Caenorhabditis elegans: one gene and its partner. The protein of the gene in region 1 interacts with the protein of each later gene in a pairwise test. Each region holds a gene or a part of one and is shown in the gene's direction. Other genes may lie near its edges.

Region 1 (8,571 bases):
TAAAATTTAACGAGTTTCACACTGGTGACCTACCATCGAATTATCACTAATCGTTTTTCTTTCTTTTCCTGATTTTTTAATTTGAATTTTGTTTGCTTATAATCATCTGATCTCCTCCTCCTCTTCACAAAGATCAAAAATAGAAATATTTAATTATATTATATTGCACCAAAGTGTCCTTTTCTTAGAGCTTGTATATGACCTGTTTCTGGTTTATTCAGCATTTTTTCACAAGGTTTTGAAAGGTTTTTGCAAACGCATAATATAGAAATTCTATTGCAATAAATATTTACAAAATTATCCACAGCCTATGCCTGCCTACGTTCAAAATACCAGGATTGTCATTATTTCTTCGAAGAAAAAACAAAGGTCGCTCGTTTTCTAAAACAGCTTTTTTCAATCTATTCCATCAGTTGACTGTATTACCATTAACATTATTAGCATCATAAAATCTATTACAGACAATGACCGTAAGATTCCGTCGTGATGGAGAAGTTCTTGTTGTTGACAGAGAAGATAATCATGACAGTTTCCGATTGAAACCGTCTGTCCGTTAGGCAACGAATTATCTGAACAACACAACAACACAGTTATTGCATTCTGTCACCCTATTCTCTCACACGGGTGCCTCTCTCTCTCCCCAACCCGGCAATGCCGCCCCGACGCTCAAGCCGCTATCCAGCCGGACGAGATAGTGTCAATCGGTGTAGGAGACGCAGAGATGTTTGGAAGAACGCACTCTACTGCGACACAACCGGCGGGTCCCCTCCGACCATACACTTACTATTCATCAAGCCAGCGCCCAAGATGCCCACCCTATCCAAATGGTTTCCGATTTCCAATTGAATCAGTCTTCCTGTTATCTAGTTTCCAAAAAAAATTTTGAGTTTTGCGCGTCAAGTATGATGCCTTGCTGATACATCACATTTTACGCGCAAAATCTCTAACTTCCACAAACAGTAACAGTACTACCAAACTTTCTCCCGCAAAGAAATTCAATCAGTTCCCATAGTTTTTTGTGTTCATTCAAATTGGTTTTGCACGTCTGTCATGCAAGGTGTCTAGTCATGAACGTAACTACTATTGTTATGTAAGATGTGTGTACTTGGACTGGTATTCGAGTCTTCCAGTATTCAACTTGATATTAGGGAGGGTTAGAGAAGGCTTTAGGAAACCTAAAGTGTCATTAAAGTTGCGTCAAGTTCCAGCAGCCGACATGTTACTTGTTTTTTTTTCCATTCAACTTTAACATCTCATACCTCGGTTCTCATTGGTTTTACCAAAAATGCTTTCAACTGATATATTGTAGCTTGAATCTTTACCTATATTTTCAAAGTTAAACATTTTTTGATAAACTCAAAAATGACAAATATACAAGCAGGATATTTACTTTAAATAATTTTTAATATCAAATATTATATGTTTGGTTACTTTTATTCGAGTGAACAAACATGTCATATCGCATCCATCACAATTCTACTCCCTACCTGTGACTTTATTGTTTCCAATTTTATCACAAAAAAAAATGCAGAACTAAATGATAAGAATTGAATTTCCGATTTTTTCCAGCTGACTCATTCTAACTGCCCACGACGTGCCCATTTTTTGGTTTTGAAAATATTCATTTATTGATTTTACTTTTAGAAATTTTGACAGTGTATACATATCTCAGTTTCTATTGGTTTTTTCAAATAATTGCTAACTAAAAAATACGTATTAACTATTTTTCTATTTTTTTGTAGTTAAAATTTTTTTGATAAGTTAAAAAGCAATTAAATTATGTGCTGTCAAAGTTGAGAAAGGAATGCAATAAGGAATATACAGTAATTCCGCTATCTAATGTTCAATCCTCATTAATAACAATTTTTCTCTAATTTATTTCCAAATTTACAATCTATTTTTCTATTTTTCAACAATTCATCATCCCTCTCCAATGTGACCTTAATCGATTTAAACTTGCGATAGTGATGACCTCCGATGACCAATTTTCTTCTGTTCAAATTAATTTTTCCTGTCAATGATTTTATCGCTTTCCGTAGGCATGTAATTTTTCATGCCTACCTACTTGCATATTTCCTTTTTTTTTCTTCATTTGAAAGTTCTTATGTACAAATCAGACGCCTTGAAGACAGATTTTGAATTGAACTCATCATATAAATTTTAATGTTCACATTTTTCTGCTTTTTCTGCTTTCCTATAATTTTTTTTGCAAAAAAGCCCTCATTCTTTACTGGTGACTAACAACATCTAGCAGGTGTCCCAGAGTGAAAGGGCCTATGAAAACCTATACGTTGTGTAAAGTAATGCACTAAAATTCGATCTAAGAAAAAGCTTGCTGTTTTCGAGAAGTTCCTGAGAAAAAAGTTGTTTCCGGTTCAATATTTTTGCTCGGAGAGTTTATTGAACCATGCTTTTTGAAAAGGTTTCAGTTTATTTGACACAAAATTCTTCGTAGGTGTTTTCTTTTTTTTTTGTGAAAATTGAAAAATTATAACCAAGAATTATTTTGTCTTTGTTGTACTTTTAAGTAATAGTAAGGTAGGCAAGGATTTATGCCTACACGCCTGCCTACTTGGCTATATTCCTACTCATTTGCCACCTACTTTATACCTACTTGAATTACCTTTTGTCTCAACTAGATTACCTGAAAACGTTTATAATTTTCATTCCAGCCATCAAAATGAACTCCCGAATGTCAAAACTTCGCCGGAGTATATCCCGCAGTGTATTTCAGTTGAACAGCTCATTGAGCCGACAGAATAGTCTTAATGGACTTGTTGACTTGCCAACTATGTCAAATACTACATTAGTAGATAAGTTTGCTGTAAGTTTTTTTCCTCGAAAGATCACATGAATTATTTACCGTGTTTCAATTATTTGTGTATGCAATGCTCTTAGAAAATCAAACAAGCCACCTGCCAACATCAAAATTTCTTTGCAGACACCGAGCAATTTCCGGCAACTACGAGACCTGATTCGCAACAATAACGAGTTACTTGCCGAAGTTGTGACTGCTTTTGAAGAGAAAGCAGCGCTTGATTTTCATTATTCGAAAACATTGAAAAAGATATCAATTCGGTTGCATAAATTGACACAAAGCGTTGAATCGTGAGTAGATGCTAAATTCAAAATTGCATAATTTGTTCAAAATATTTTGGCGAGAAAGTCAAGGATTTGATTTTTTTAATTTGGTAATTCAGAATTTAACAATTTTTCAAAAAAATTGATGGAAACTATAGTGTGTCTTTAAAAAAAGACTATATTTTAAAGGGGCATACATACATTCAAAAATTTGCAAAATATCTTATTTCAGAGGTATCGATAAAGGCTGGACAAATGTGGCAGAACAATTTGATATTCATGCTACTATTCACAGTAACTTAGGATCTGCAATCACTGAAGATATCATACAACCTCTTAGATCAATTCAATCAAATCAGCAAAAAACTATTCGAGCAGCCGACAATTTCGTAGAGCGAGAAATTCGAAAATTGAAGGATAAGAAAGATGAAACTCAAAAAATGAAACGAAGTCTGTACGTGTTGGCGAAAGAGCTTGAAAAGACTGAAAACTCGGCTGAACGAGAAAAAGCTCAACCGGAGAAGTTTGCACTTCGCCGGAAAAAGTACAAAGATCAGATGATTCGAAGTGAAGATGATTATGTATGGCAGACTGTTGATCTGGAAAAGCAGAGAAGAATGACTGAAAATGTGTTACGAAAAGGTGTAGAGAGTATGGAATCAGTGGAGAGACAGAGATTAGCTCATTGTCAAACTGCATTGGGACGGTATAAGAGAAAGATTGAGACGTTGGGACCGAATTTGAGACAAGTTAGGGAAAGTGAAATTTTGAAATTAGTCAATATTTTATTTTCAGATGTTTGAAAGGCATTCGAATAATCTTGAACTTGCGGTAGATTCTGTTCCGGAGGATTATATTCAAACTATTCAACCATCAACTTCAGCTGTCAATCATATTACCCTGATTGATCTTCATGTAAGTCTTTTCTACGGGAATTACTTTCCTAGAGCACGGAGCAACCGTGGTAGAAGAAAAAATCGGCGGCCGAAAAGGTGTGCGCCTTTAAATAGTACTGTAGTTTTTTCTCACGATTTGTTGAAACTTTATGTGTTTTTATTGTTATATTTAAGTTTATCAAAGATCTATCTAAACAGAAAATCTAAATCTATCTAATAATATACAACTCCACAGAAACTCAAGTATTCTTTGAAGACACACACTTTTTCTCTATTAACAAAAATTTCTCCAGTAGCCGTATTTTGGCGGAAAAATCGCAACATTTTGCGTCTGGATAATAACCTTCTAACTGAAAAACTCTAACATTTTTGAATTTGCCATTTTTCCAAAACATTTTTTTCGAAATTGCAATTGTTCAAAAATAAATTTATATTACTTTTTCGTTTTCAGGCTGAAAATTTCGGAGAAGTCATGTCTTCGACACGACGCCGTCAGAATCTTGAACGAGTTTCAGGAGTATTGGATTCAGAATTGAAGAGACTTTACAACAATCAGACAGCTGACGTTATGGTGTCTAATTCAAAGCAAATTGTGGGTTTTTGGAAAGAATGCATGCCTACTTTATGCCTATTTTCATTTTTTTAATTGAAAACAATAGGAAAAACCAGAATATCTAATAATTCCAGAGCGTTTTGGAATTCATCGAATATCTGTACTACAAGTTGAATGATTCAATAAATATTGTGGATGGAGGTCAAAATCGAGGTTTTCACAGATTATCCAGGTTTCAACATAAGATTAAAGATAAATCGGTAAGCTTTTTACAATTTTTAAAAACTCAAATAAAATTATGAGATTTTCGAAAAAAAATTAGAAAATAAAACAATTTATCAATTCTAGTCTTTAGACACGACATTTTGTGATTTTTCAACAAAAAACGGTACTCGGTCTCGTAACGACAAATTTGTGTTTAATACAAGAATGAGTGCGTCTTTAAAGAGTACTGTAGCTTCAAGCTTTTATTTCTTCCAAAAACTATGAAAAATCGATGAAAATGCGGCAACAAGAAAAGTTTAATTACAGTACACTTCAATGGTTCACAGCTTTTTGTATTGAACATAAATGTGTCGTTTCGAGACCGGGTACCATATTATTGGCGCCAAACAAAATTTTCAATTTTTTTCGTACCGAAACCCATTCCGCACCAGGCGAAGAATAACATATTAATAAAACATTTTTACAGGGTCTTCCAATGACAATTCTCACAATTCCATTATCCGGTGATAATAACAGTCTTCCACCACCTTGTCTATCAATGGAAGCATCAACTGCTTATCCGTCACCACGTGGCAGTGGAGAGTACGAAGAATATGAAAAGGTATATTTAGTTTTTATTACGAATTTTAAAATTATTTTCACTTCGAATATTACCAAAAACTTACGATTTTAAGCCAAAAATACAATCTTCTATACAATCTTAAAATACAATCTTGAAACGAAAACAGTTGTTAAATTCGAAGAGGCGTGCGCCTTTAAAAATTACTGTTAATTATAAATTCTGTTTCTTTTCATAGTTTTTCAATAAATCTCAATCAAAAATCGATAAAAAATTCCACACCAATAAGTTTTAAATTACAGTACTATTTAAAGGCGCACGCCTCTTCGAATTAAACACCCTTTTTCGTATCGAGACCGCGTACCGTATTTCTGCCGCGAAAAACCCATGTAAGTAGTAATCATTTTTCAATCTTCAGATATCCGACGACGGTTTCTACTCAACAACAACAACATCATCAAATGGTGGTCCTATTCGAACAACTACAACTTTCGATGAGCCCACTTCAAGTCCACCGACAATTTGTAGAGTTCTTTATGATTTTGAGCCGAAGCATGCTGACGAGATTGAGGTGGCTCTATTTAATTGAGATCTATATTATAAATCTGAATTATTTTAAGATTAGAGAAGGTCAATGTGTTCTTGTCGAGGATCGAATAGGAGATGATTGGCTCATTGGGCACGTTATAAGCCAACATGACAATTCTTCAATTGATCCACGATCTGGAAGATTTCCAACCACATATGTTTCTCTTAGGCAATGAGACTTTTTTCTTGGCGGCACAATAAAGTTTCCTCTTTTTGTTGGGTCACTCAACGAACACAATACAAATATTTGAGCGCTCGCATTTTTCTCAACCTTTCGGGTTTAAAGCACTTCAAAATGGAATTGAAGAGAGATTGTGAAAGTACATCAGACAGAATCACATTTTGATAGCATTCACTTCACTCAGATGCAAACTTTTCAGTGACTATAAAAAGTCATAAAATAATAACATTAAAAAAGCAAATAAATTAGCGAGAGAATTTTTTGACAAAAAGAAAGAAGAGTGATAGAGAAGAAGGGAATGCTTGAAAGGATCTTGCATTTATTGCTCCGATTCGTAAGTCTCTCCAGCTTCTCCCTCAGCGTATCCGTCGACGTCGTCTTCGGCAGTTGCTTCTTGGTATTGTTGGTATTCTGAGATGAGATCGTTCATGTTGCTCTCGGCTTCGGTGAACTCCATCTCGTCCATTCCTTCTCCAGTGTACCAATGGAGGAAAGCCTTGCGGCGGAACATAGCTGAAAAAATAACGTTTTTAAAACTGATACTGGATGATAGTTTCAAATTTCTTACCAGTGAACTGCTCTGAGATACGCTTGAAAAGCTCTTGGATAGCGGTCGAGTTTCCAACGAAGGTGGCAGCCATCTTGAGTCCTCTTGGTGGGATGTCACAAACGGCGGTCTTGACGTTGTTCGGGATCCATTCGACGAAGTAGGACGAGTTCTTGTTCTGAACGTTGAGCATTTGCTCGTCAACCTCTCTCATCGACATGCGTCCACGGAACATAGCGGCCACGGTCAGGTAACGTCCGTGTCTTGGGTCACAGGCAGCCATCATGTTCTTGGCATCGAACATTTGTTGGGTGAGCTCGGCGACGGTAAGGGCACGGTAAGCCTGGGTTCCCTTGGCGGAAAGTGGTGCGAATCCTGGCATGAAGAAGTGAAGACGTGGGAATGGAACCATGTTGACGGCAAGCTTGCGGAGATCGGCATTGAGCTGTCCTGGGAATCGGAGACAGGTGGTAACTCCGGACATGGTGAGGGATACTGAAAATTGTAATTATTAGGTTTCAATTTGGGTAACTTGTGCATAACTTAAACTTGAACAAGAAATAATAACTTACCAAGATGGTTCAAATCACCGTAGGTTGGGTTGGTGAGTTTGAGGGTACGGTAGCAGATGTCGTAGAGGGCCTCGTTGTCAATGCAGTAGGTCTCATCGGTGTTCTCAACAAGCTGGTGGACGGAGAGGGTGGCATTGTATGGTTCTACAACTGTGTCGGACACCTTTGGCGATGGTACAACCGAGAATGAGCTCATGATTCTGTCTGGGTACTCTTCGCGGATTTTGGAGATGAGAAGTGTTCCCATTCCAGATCCGGTTCCTCCTCCGAGAGAGTGAGTGAGTTGGAATCCTTGAAGACAATCGCATCCTTCGGCTTCCTTGCGGATCACGTCAAGCACATTGTCGACAAGCTCAGCTCCTTCTGTGTAGTGACCCTTGGCCCAGTTGTTTCCGGCTCCGCTTTGTCCGAACACAAAGTTGTCAGGACGGAACAGCTGGCCGAATGGTCCAGAGCGGACAGAATCCATGGTTCCTGGTTCGAGATCGACCAACACGGCGCGTGGCACATACTTTCCGTCTGAAAAAATTTAATTAATTAATCATTCCAACTAAACGATTTCGAAATCTCCAGAAAATTTTAAAAACTCACTGTTGGCTTCGTTGTAGTAGACGTCAATGCGCTCAAGCTGGAGATCCGTCTCTCCCTTGAAGGTTCCGTCTGGCTGGATTCCGTGCTCGTCGGAGATGACCTCCCAGAATTTGGATCCGATTTGGTTTCCGCATTGTCCGGCTTGCACGTGGACGATCTCTCTCATTTTTGCTGAAAAGGTCGTAATGAATTGAAAAACTATATTTAGATAGAGAAGATGAAGGAAAATAACAAAAGAAAGAGAACACGTCATGGTCGATATTGAAAAGCAATGATTCACGGCAAAAATTTAAAATTAAAGGAGTAAGTTTTTTTAATACATTGAAATTTGAGAGATGTTTAATTGGTGATTTGATTCTAGTTTATTGTGCTCTGAAATTAAATGATTCACGGCGAAAATAAGAAATTAAAAGACGAATTAGGAATAAGGTTGAATAAGGTTACCTTGAAAAATATAAGAGATGTTTAATTGGTGATTCTTTTCTATTCTATATAGGTTGATTCTAGTTTATTGCACTCCGAAATTAACTACTTTCGATAAAAATTTCAGCGCAAGTACCTTTCTATTTGCTCTAAAATGAGCCCACTTTTCATAATCGCTACCCCAAAAAGGAAACAAAAGGACGTTGTAGGAGCAGACATGCAGCTCTTGGGATGTATGGAATGGAGACGAAGAAGAGGCGGGTCGGGCGCAGTTGTGTCCGACGCTGTGTGCATTCGGATCGATAATCGCGAGAACACGGGGCGCGCGGCGCCCGCTCGCATTAAAAACCGCAGT
Region 2 (7,818 bases), on another chromosome or scaffold:
TAAGGTTTACTTTTCACCAATTTTTTTTCTCAATGTCCTCAAATTCTCCACAATAATCTTCACTATTTACCAAATGTTTGCGTAACCCCAACGGCACCGCCGGTTTTCCGTTCCCCCTTCTTTTTCAATTGTTTGCCATTTACTGTAAGAGCTCGTGGGGAGCTTGGTTACTAAGTTAGAGAGTGTGGAATTCTGAGAGACACAGAGGAATACTGCTACTGCTCTCTTGCTCGTTTTCAACCGAAAAAGCTGGCTCGGCACAGGGAGGAGAGCTCACCAAACTTTGACAGTTACCCCCTTCCCGATTTTTCTCCCAACTTTACTTACTGCATTCGAGTTTTTTGACGCCTCCCTCCTGACAAGGGAGTCACGTAGGCATTGAATTTTTTGGAAAATTTTTTAATTTAATTTTAATTCGAATTTTGGGAAACATTTCTGATTTTTGTCTGAATTTTTAAAGAGTTTGCTGAAAAATAAATCTTTCAGTTTTTCTGAAAAAATTAGTATTTATATTTTTTGGAAATTTTCAAACTTTTATTAGAAAATTACAAGCTTTCTATCGAATTTTCGATTTTTAAAGGATTTTTATCCGGAATTTTATAAAGTTTCACTTTTGATAAATACTGAAATAACAGGAAATTTCATTTCTCAAAACATCGGTAATTTTTGAATAATTTTTTTTAATTCACAAAATCTCCAATTTTAGAAATTTTTTAAATAAAAGTTTATGTTTAGAAAAGAACTAGAAAATTAAACAAATTCTGAGTATTTAGGAAACAATTTTTATTCTCAAAAAAAGAACGAAAGTTTACGAAAGTTTCACAAACACATTTTCTATAATTTTTTAAAATACTTAATTTTTTTTCTTTGGTCCAAGAGCAGGTATCTGAAATTCCTTTGATATTTTGAAGGTAAATTCTAATTCCGAAATTTTAAAAATTTTCTGAAACTTTGAAGTCACGCCATGGCCGATTTTTATTTTTATTTTCGCGGTCACCTGCTCCTAAAAGCATAAAAATCCGGAATACCCAAACCGAAATCTGAAAAAACAGAAACAAATCAAATCAAATCACTCTAAAAATGTGTTATCATAGTCGAATGTTGTGTTAAACGTCTTCGATCCCCGCCATCCCATTCCGCCGGTCTCCACCACCTCTGCGTCTATCGCTGCTCCACACTATTTTGCCCCTACCCCAGCTTCAGTTCGGATGTCCGCAATCCGGATTTTGTTCGTTTCCTTCCTTTTTCGGGCGGATCAACGGCTTCTTATCTGATATGATTCGGTTTGAAGGAGATGAAGATGGTTGTGTTGGGGGAAGAAAAGAAGGAGAAGCCTAACCGGGGGAGATTGTCAGCCAGCCACCCCCTGCTGAGATATTGTGTTTAATGACATTTTCCATTTTTCCCGAATTATCTATTTTTACAACAATCCATACCTTTTTATCAGATTTTGCTAAAGTTTTGCCAACTTTCGCCAACCTTCGTTAGACATTTGTCAACTTTCAAAAAGCAATTGCAATAGTTCCAAACTGCTGCTCAATTTTTGACCAACTTTTTTGAATTGTTTCTATACTTTCAATATTTTTTAAAAACAACTTTCGCGAACTGTCGCTAGACTTTCGGCAAGAAACAACTTCTTCTGAATCTACGACAATTTTCTGCAACTGTTATCAGATCTTCGACATTTTGAGCAACGTTTGCCAACTTCTGTTAATTTTTTCTAGACTTTCAGCAATCCCCGCAAGGTTTTTACGAACTCCGACCAACCTTCGCCAAAATTTCATCAATTTTCACCAGTGTTTTTCAAGAAGTTGCGTTTTTCTCAAACTTGTGGTAGATCTTTGGCAGACTTTTGTTCAATTTCAGTCTATTTTAACTTTCGCTATACTATCACCAATTTTCATCAACTTTGTGCAACTTTCGTCAACCAATTTCCCTCTAATTTTCATTCCCAATTCCGCTTAAAGCTTCAACTAAAAGCAAAATAAAAAACCGAATATCCCCCAATTTTCCAATTTTCCTGCACCGGAAAAAACATAGAGCTTCTTCCCCTTCTTCTTCTACTCCATCTCCACCCACACATACTACCGGTTCTCCTAGATTTTCAGTCTAAACCATTTCAATTGTGTCTTACGGTAGTTTATCATGAGATTTAGATGGAATTGAAGAAGAGAGAAATGACACGAAAGAGTGTGTAAACTTTTTATTACATTTTGGAAGACTAACCATGTCGTAGTACACACTCAGGCTTTTTGGCTTTTTGTGTCTAGATTCCTCTGCATGATCTACAGAGATTTTTTTGGCAGATTGCCAAAATTTACTTAAATTTCTGACAAAAAAATTAAAATATTTTTTTAAAAAGATTTTTGTTTTAAAGTACTAAAACGTAACCTTCTGCAATTTCAGAAAGTTATAATCTAGATTATTAAAAAATCTCACAATTTAAAGTTTCCAGAAAATTTTTAAATCTGAAAATGATTTTGAAAAACAATTCGGCATTCGACAAAATTAATGTTTTGATTTAAATTTTTTTGAAATTCTCTTTTTTAAAAGTACCAGTTTTCAATATTTTGTTATCAGAAATATTTCAGAAAAATTTTGATTTAAAAAACATTAACTGAAAATTCAAAAAATATTTTTTTGTGTTGATTTTAGAAATTTTAAGATTTTTTAAAATTGGGTTTTGCAAATATTAATCTTTTGAAAATGTTTTAAACAAAAATTAACAATTTTTTAATATGAATATTTTAAAATTTCCCTTTAATTACACAATTTTTTCTACATTTCTCCAAATTAAAATAGTTAAAAGAATAATTTTCAAAAATAATTCAACATTTGAAACAAAAAACGGATATATGTATATATATATATATATTCTTATGTCTTATTTCCTTTTTTCCATTTCTAGATTATCCCAGCTTCTGACTCCCCTTAGCCTTTTTTTTCTAAAAATCTCAAATTTTTCCGTTTCAGACCCCTTCTAAATTTAAATCCACTCAAACAGATGGCCTTCCAGCCGGCGTTTAACGCCCGTCTGATAAACGAGGTTCGTAAGTACCCGTGCCTATATAATCATTCACGACGTGGCAGCGGGGACACAATGGAACGTCAACGACTTTGGGAATCAATCGCCAAAAATATTGACCCGAATTGTGCGGCAGAGTTTGCGAAGAAACGATGGTTGCAGCTGAGGGATCGATATCGGAAAGAATTAAAGATTGCAATTAAAAATGGATTTGTGACACCTGTTAGATGGTGTTATTTTAATCAATTATCGTGGTTGGACCCGTTTTTGAAGGATAATATGTAAGAATTGAATTTCATAATTATTTTTCAACTCGTTTTTTTCTGGCCATCACAAAGCTAATTTTTTAATATTTTTTCTAATATTTTTTTGTTGAAAAACCGCGAAATTTTTGGTTTGTAGGCATATCAAAACAAAAAACTGAAATTTAAAAAATAAGTTCACCTAATTTGAAATATATCTAAAGAGTCTAAATTAACACTTCAAAAATTCAGAAAAAAAAATTTGAAAAATCTCATTAAAAAATCAAAAGTTGTAGATAAAATCAAATTCAAAAAAAAACTTCAAAAATACTAAAACATTTAATTAAAATTCCAGAATTCTTTTTTTTCTTAAATTAAAAATTATAAAAATTAAAAAAAAAACAATTTATCGACAAAAAACTGATCGATTCGAAATTTAATATTTTGAAAAAAAATTAAAATTTTCTACAAAAAATTAATTCAAGATATATCAAAAAGAATCTGAAAAGTAAAAAATAATAATTTAGAACTCCGCGATTATAAGTTAAAATTCTCATCTTCAAAGTCTATTTTTTGCAGTGGTCAAGCAGCAGATGAAGGCAAAAAAACTGGTAAATCTGACTCTTTTGATGAGCCATCAGGCACACCGTTCAGCTGGTTCGGTTTTCCAAATTTAAATTCAATAAAAGACGAGATGGAAGATGATGATAGTGATCCAGCACTCGAATCTTCGGTTTTAGACCGACTACTTGCACAAACCGCCCAACGATTGGACAGTATATCCCCTGAAATTGAAAATGATGAATCTGGAACTCAAAGTCTCGATGGAAATCTAGATGGAGTTGATGGGGATGGAGATGAGGAGGAAGATCTTAAAATAAAAGATGAAGATGAAGTAGAGGAAGATGGCCCAGAAAAGGTGAAAAGTCAATCCGAAGCTATGGCGATGCTCAAGGAGGCTATAAGTGCTCAGAGCCAACAGCAGACTCAGCAGGCTCAACAGGTCCAGCAGGTCCAACAGACCCCACAGAAACCATCAGTGGAGTCCCTCATAGCAGCGAATCAGGCTAGATTTGCACACCATCTTGCTGCACAGCTCACTGGGATGAGTTCAATGCTCAATGGAGCCAGGAAATCCGAGGAGGCAGCGATCCCGCCGCTCCGACCTTCAACACCACCGCCAACCGCGTCCACTACGAGCCACTTCCATCCTTATAAAGAGGCGGCGAGGAATAGGCATAGGCAGCAGACTGCGGATAATGTTATGAGATATCATTTGCAACAGGTGAGCGGGTTTGGAACATTTGGTAAAAAAAATTTTTTTCGGAAGGATCGTGATTTTCCTGGATTTTTTGGAGATTTTTGATTTTTTTAAAATAATTTCTCTGAAACTTTCTTAAATTAAAAAAAAATTCTAGATTTTTTGTAAAAAATATTAGATGCGATTGAAAATAGTTTGCTGAATTCTTGGAAACTTCGGATTTAGTTCTGTTTTTTTTAATGTTACCTTTTTTCGGAAAATTTAGTGATTTTCAAGAAAAAATGTTAAAGTTAAAAAATTTTTTAATGAACTTTTCGGAATGATTTTTTGAAGGTTGAAGTGTATAATTTTCAGAATTTTTTTTTGGTTTTCTGAATTACATTTAATTACTTTCTAGATTATTAAAATTTAATTTTTATTAAAAAAATATATTCGGAAACATTTTAAGTGTTTCTAGTTAAAAAAAATTTTTCGAATTTAAATATTTATTTCAAGTTTTAAGAGATTTTTAAATCGAAGTTTCTGGATTTTCTTACCAAAATTAGGATTTTTTCTCAGCAAATTTCAAAAATTTATAACGTGTTCCTACATTAGAAATTTTAAGAAAGAATTTCTAGAATAATATAACTTTTTTCCAGGTCGGTCGGGTTGCTCTTGAATGGCTCAATGATGAGGATTTATTGTACAGCCGGATAATTGGGTTGAAGCTTAAGAAAATGGACCCGAAAAAACGGAAAAAGGTGAGAGATTGTTTTCAGATATATTCAACAAGTTCAGACTCCAACTTTTTTCAGGTCCGTCACCAAATAATGTCACTACTGGACGAAACCGATGACACCCACCATATTGTAGACAATGATGACTCTTGTAGCAGTCCATCAGCACATAGTCCAACCGGAGAGCACGATGAAGATTGCGCAGTTGAGCCAACGGCAAATGAAATTCCAACGGCTTGAAAATTAGTCTTTTGTTTGTAGTATATGGGTCCCCCCCCCCACGAAAAAATGATTTGCGCCTTCAAGCTAAAATGCAAAAATATGCCTGATCGGTTTAAAAGGCGCATAATTTATTTTCGTGTCGAGACCTAAATTCTGGTAGGCTACTGTAACATTGAAAAAACACTTCCTTTATTTTTCAAAATATCTATTTTGTGTTTTCTTATTGGTGCTCTCCTCATTTTATTAAATGTAGAAAACGAAAAATGTTCAAAAACTAGTTTTTAGTGTATTCTCACTCCCCGTCGGTCTAGTCAGTGCGCAATTCTTTCACTTTTCTTTTGTTCCCTCCATAATTTCAGCATTTTTTTTATTTTTTGAAATTAGTCTCTACAAACACCATCATCTTGCCTGTATATTTTTGTACCACGATTTTTTTATAATAAACGTGTATTTTTTGGTTTTGGACAGAGCGCGTGCTCCCTCCGACTCGCGGATTCTGAATTGTTCTGTGTATTTTGGAGATTTTCCTGAAATTGTTAATTTTTGGAGAAGAAGGAATTTTTATTTGCTAGACCTTTCTGGAAACAGCTAGATAACTCTAGTTTTTTAAAGGAGTTTTTAAAAAACTTCCGAAAATTTTTTTTTTTTTCAGAAGTTCTTGCCCAAATATTTCAGACATTTTTCAGAAGTTTTATCATATCAAATATATTTTGTAATTTTTCCCACATTTTTTCCAAAAATTTCCTTCACGTGAACTTCCACAATTTCAACCGATAACATCTTCCATGCAAAATGAATTATTTCCAACAATTTGTTTCAACTTTCCAACCGGTCAATTAAAGTTGCACAATGTATCAATTATTATTCTACAACGTCATCTGCGCGATCATGTTTTTCATGACTATAACCTCAAATTGTCTGAAAGGGAAACCGAAAGAGGGCAGGTTAGGATTAATGTTTCTAACTAAACGTGGGAGATTCCAGAGCCAAAGAAACCCCCAAAAGTGATACCAATCCGTTACGAAACCGATCCTGCCGTGCTGGAGAAGGAGCGGAAGATGAAAATTGCAGAAAATCGGGAGAAAATGCGAAAAAAGAGGGAGAAACAACAACAACCACAATTCGAAAAGGCTGTGGTGGAGACTGTTGTTAAAAGGGAGGTGGATCAGAAGGAAATGGTAATTCTAAATAGGGACGGACCCATCGCTGCGATTTTCAAAAATATTTGCAGGCTTAGTAACTAGCATACAGTGATCCATTTTTCAGAAGCTGGAAGATGTAACGCAACCTTCAGCATCTATCGAATCCAACGAGCAGCAACCATCGCAAGATACCAAGAATTCGCAGCCGAGTGAGGATGAGAAGGAGAAAAAGACCAGAACTTTGACTGTGACGGACGAAGATCTTGGCAATGTGAAACTGGTTGAAAATGATCCGGATGGTGGTGAGCACATAGATTTTTTGATTTTTTGATGGATCCTAATTATCAGGTTACAGGAAAGAAGCTGAAGCTTGTTAAAAAGCAAGCTCGTGAGCAGGCCAAGCAGAAGGAGCTGGAAGAGCAACTGATTCGCCAGATTCAAAGATCGGAGGTTATTTTATTATTTCGAGTTTCCATTATCTTATTTTCAACTATTTCAAGTCACGTCAAAGCCCAGACGACACAATGAAAAATGTTTCTTCAATCCAATTTGAGTCTCAAAATTCGCATATTCAACGTAAGAAGCAACAACAAGAAGCTGCGAAAACGGTCATCGATACGGTGTCAATTGAGTCACAAATGATCAGAGATGCTACTTTGATTGTAAGATTCAGGGGAAACGTAGAATTTTAAAAGAAACTTATTTAGGAGCCCAAGTCCAATGAGTTGTATGTCAAAGAGCTCACCAAGAAAATTTTGGAAGAAAAGGAGGAAGATTGATCTTTTTTGAATTACAATAAAGTTTTCTCGCCTCCAAAATCAAAAAAGAGCCGCTATTTGCTCTTGCGAGCATTTTTTTCCGGAATGATCATTGGTTTTATTTGCATGAACCAAGTGGCAATTGTTACTATTCTCTAAGCCTTCATGTGCCAACAATGTAAATAGAGTAGTACTGGTTATTCTAGGGTTTTTTTTTGGGTTTCTGTCTTGTTAGATTTTGGTATAAAAGTAGACAATTCCTCTACAATTCATCGACACTTTCAAGTCAGTTCAATCAGTTCAGTATGTTCGCTAAGTGGTGAGTGCTCACTTTTCTATTAATTTATGAATGTGTAATTTTCAGCTTTGCCGCCGTTCTCCTCTGCGCCACGATCATGGGATCTCATCAACAAGTGGTTGTACCAGCCTACTCTGCAGCCTACTACCCATCA

The links.
Region 2: the proteins of C36E8.4 (region 1) and madf-5 interact in a two-hybrid assay, tested with the Caenorhabditis elegans proteins (one large-scale study listed by BioGRID).

The regions. Positions count from the first base shown.
Region 1 is NC_003281.10:4,009,664-4,018,234, forward strand, and holds C36E8.4 (SH3 domain-containing protein), read left to right. Parts: upstream 1-2,672; 5' UTR 2,673-2,680; coding exon 2,681-2,824; intron 2,825-2,941; coding exon 2,942-3,108; intron 3,109-3,313; coding exon 3,314-3,830; intron 3,831-3,876; coding exon 3,877-3,996; intron 3,997-4,428; coding exon 4,429-4,569; intron 4,570-4,664; coding exon 4,665-4,790; intron 4,791-5,027; exon of another isoform or gene 5,028-5,048; intron 5,049-5,221; coding exon 5,222-5,356; intron 5,357-5,732; coding exon 5,733-5,885; intron 5,886-5,934; coding exon 5,935-6,078; 3' UTR 6,079-6,111; downstream 6,112-8,571. Other genes in the region: tbb-2 (Tubulin beta-2 chain), read right to left, coding at 6,403-6,596, 6,652-7,125, 7,203-7,721, 7,794-7,959.
Region 2 is NC_003280.10:14,570,642-14,578,459, forward strand, and holds madf-5 (Alcohol dehydrogenase transcription factor myb/sant-like protein), read left to right. Parts: upstream 1-2,973; 5' UTR 2,974-3,004; coding exon 3,005-3,306; intron 3,307-3,575; exon of another isoform or gene 3,576-3,768; intron 3,769-3,846; coding exon 3,847-4,552; intron 4,553-5,166; coding exon 5,167-5,268; intron 5,269-5,322; coding exon 5,323-5,484; 3' UTR 5,485-5,920; downstream 5,921-7,818. Other genes in the region: C01G12.13 (uncharacterized protein), read left to right, coding at 6,316-6,406, 6,451-6,644, 6,733-6,910, 6,964-7,058, 7,109-7,270, 7,316-7,387; nspb-7 (Nematode Specific Peptide family, group B), read left to right, coding at 7,672-7,685, 7,731-7,818.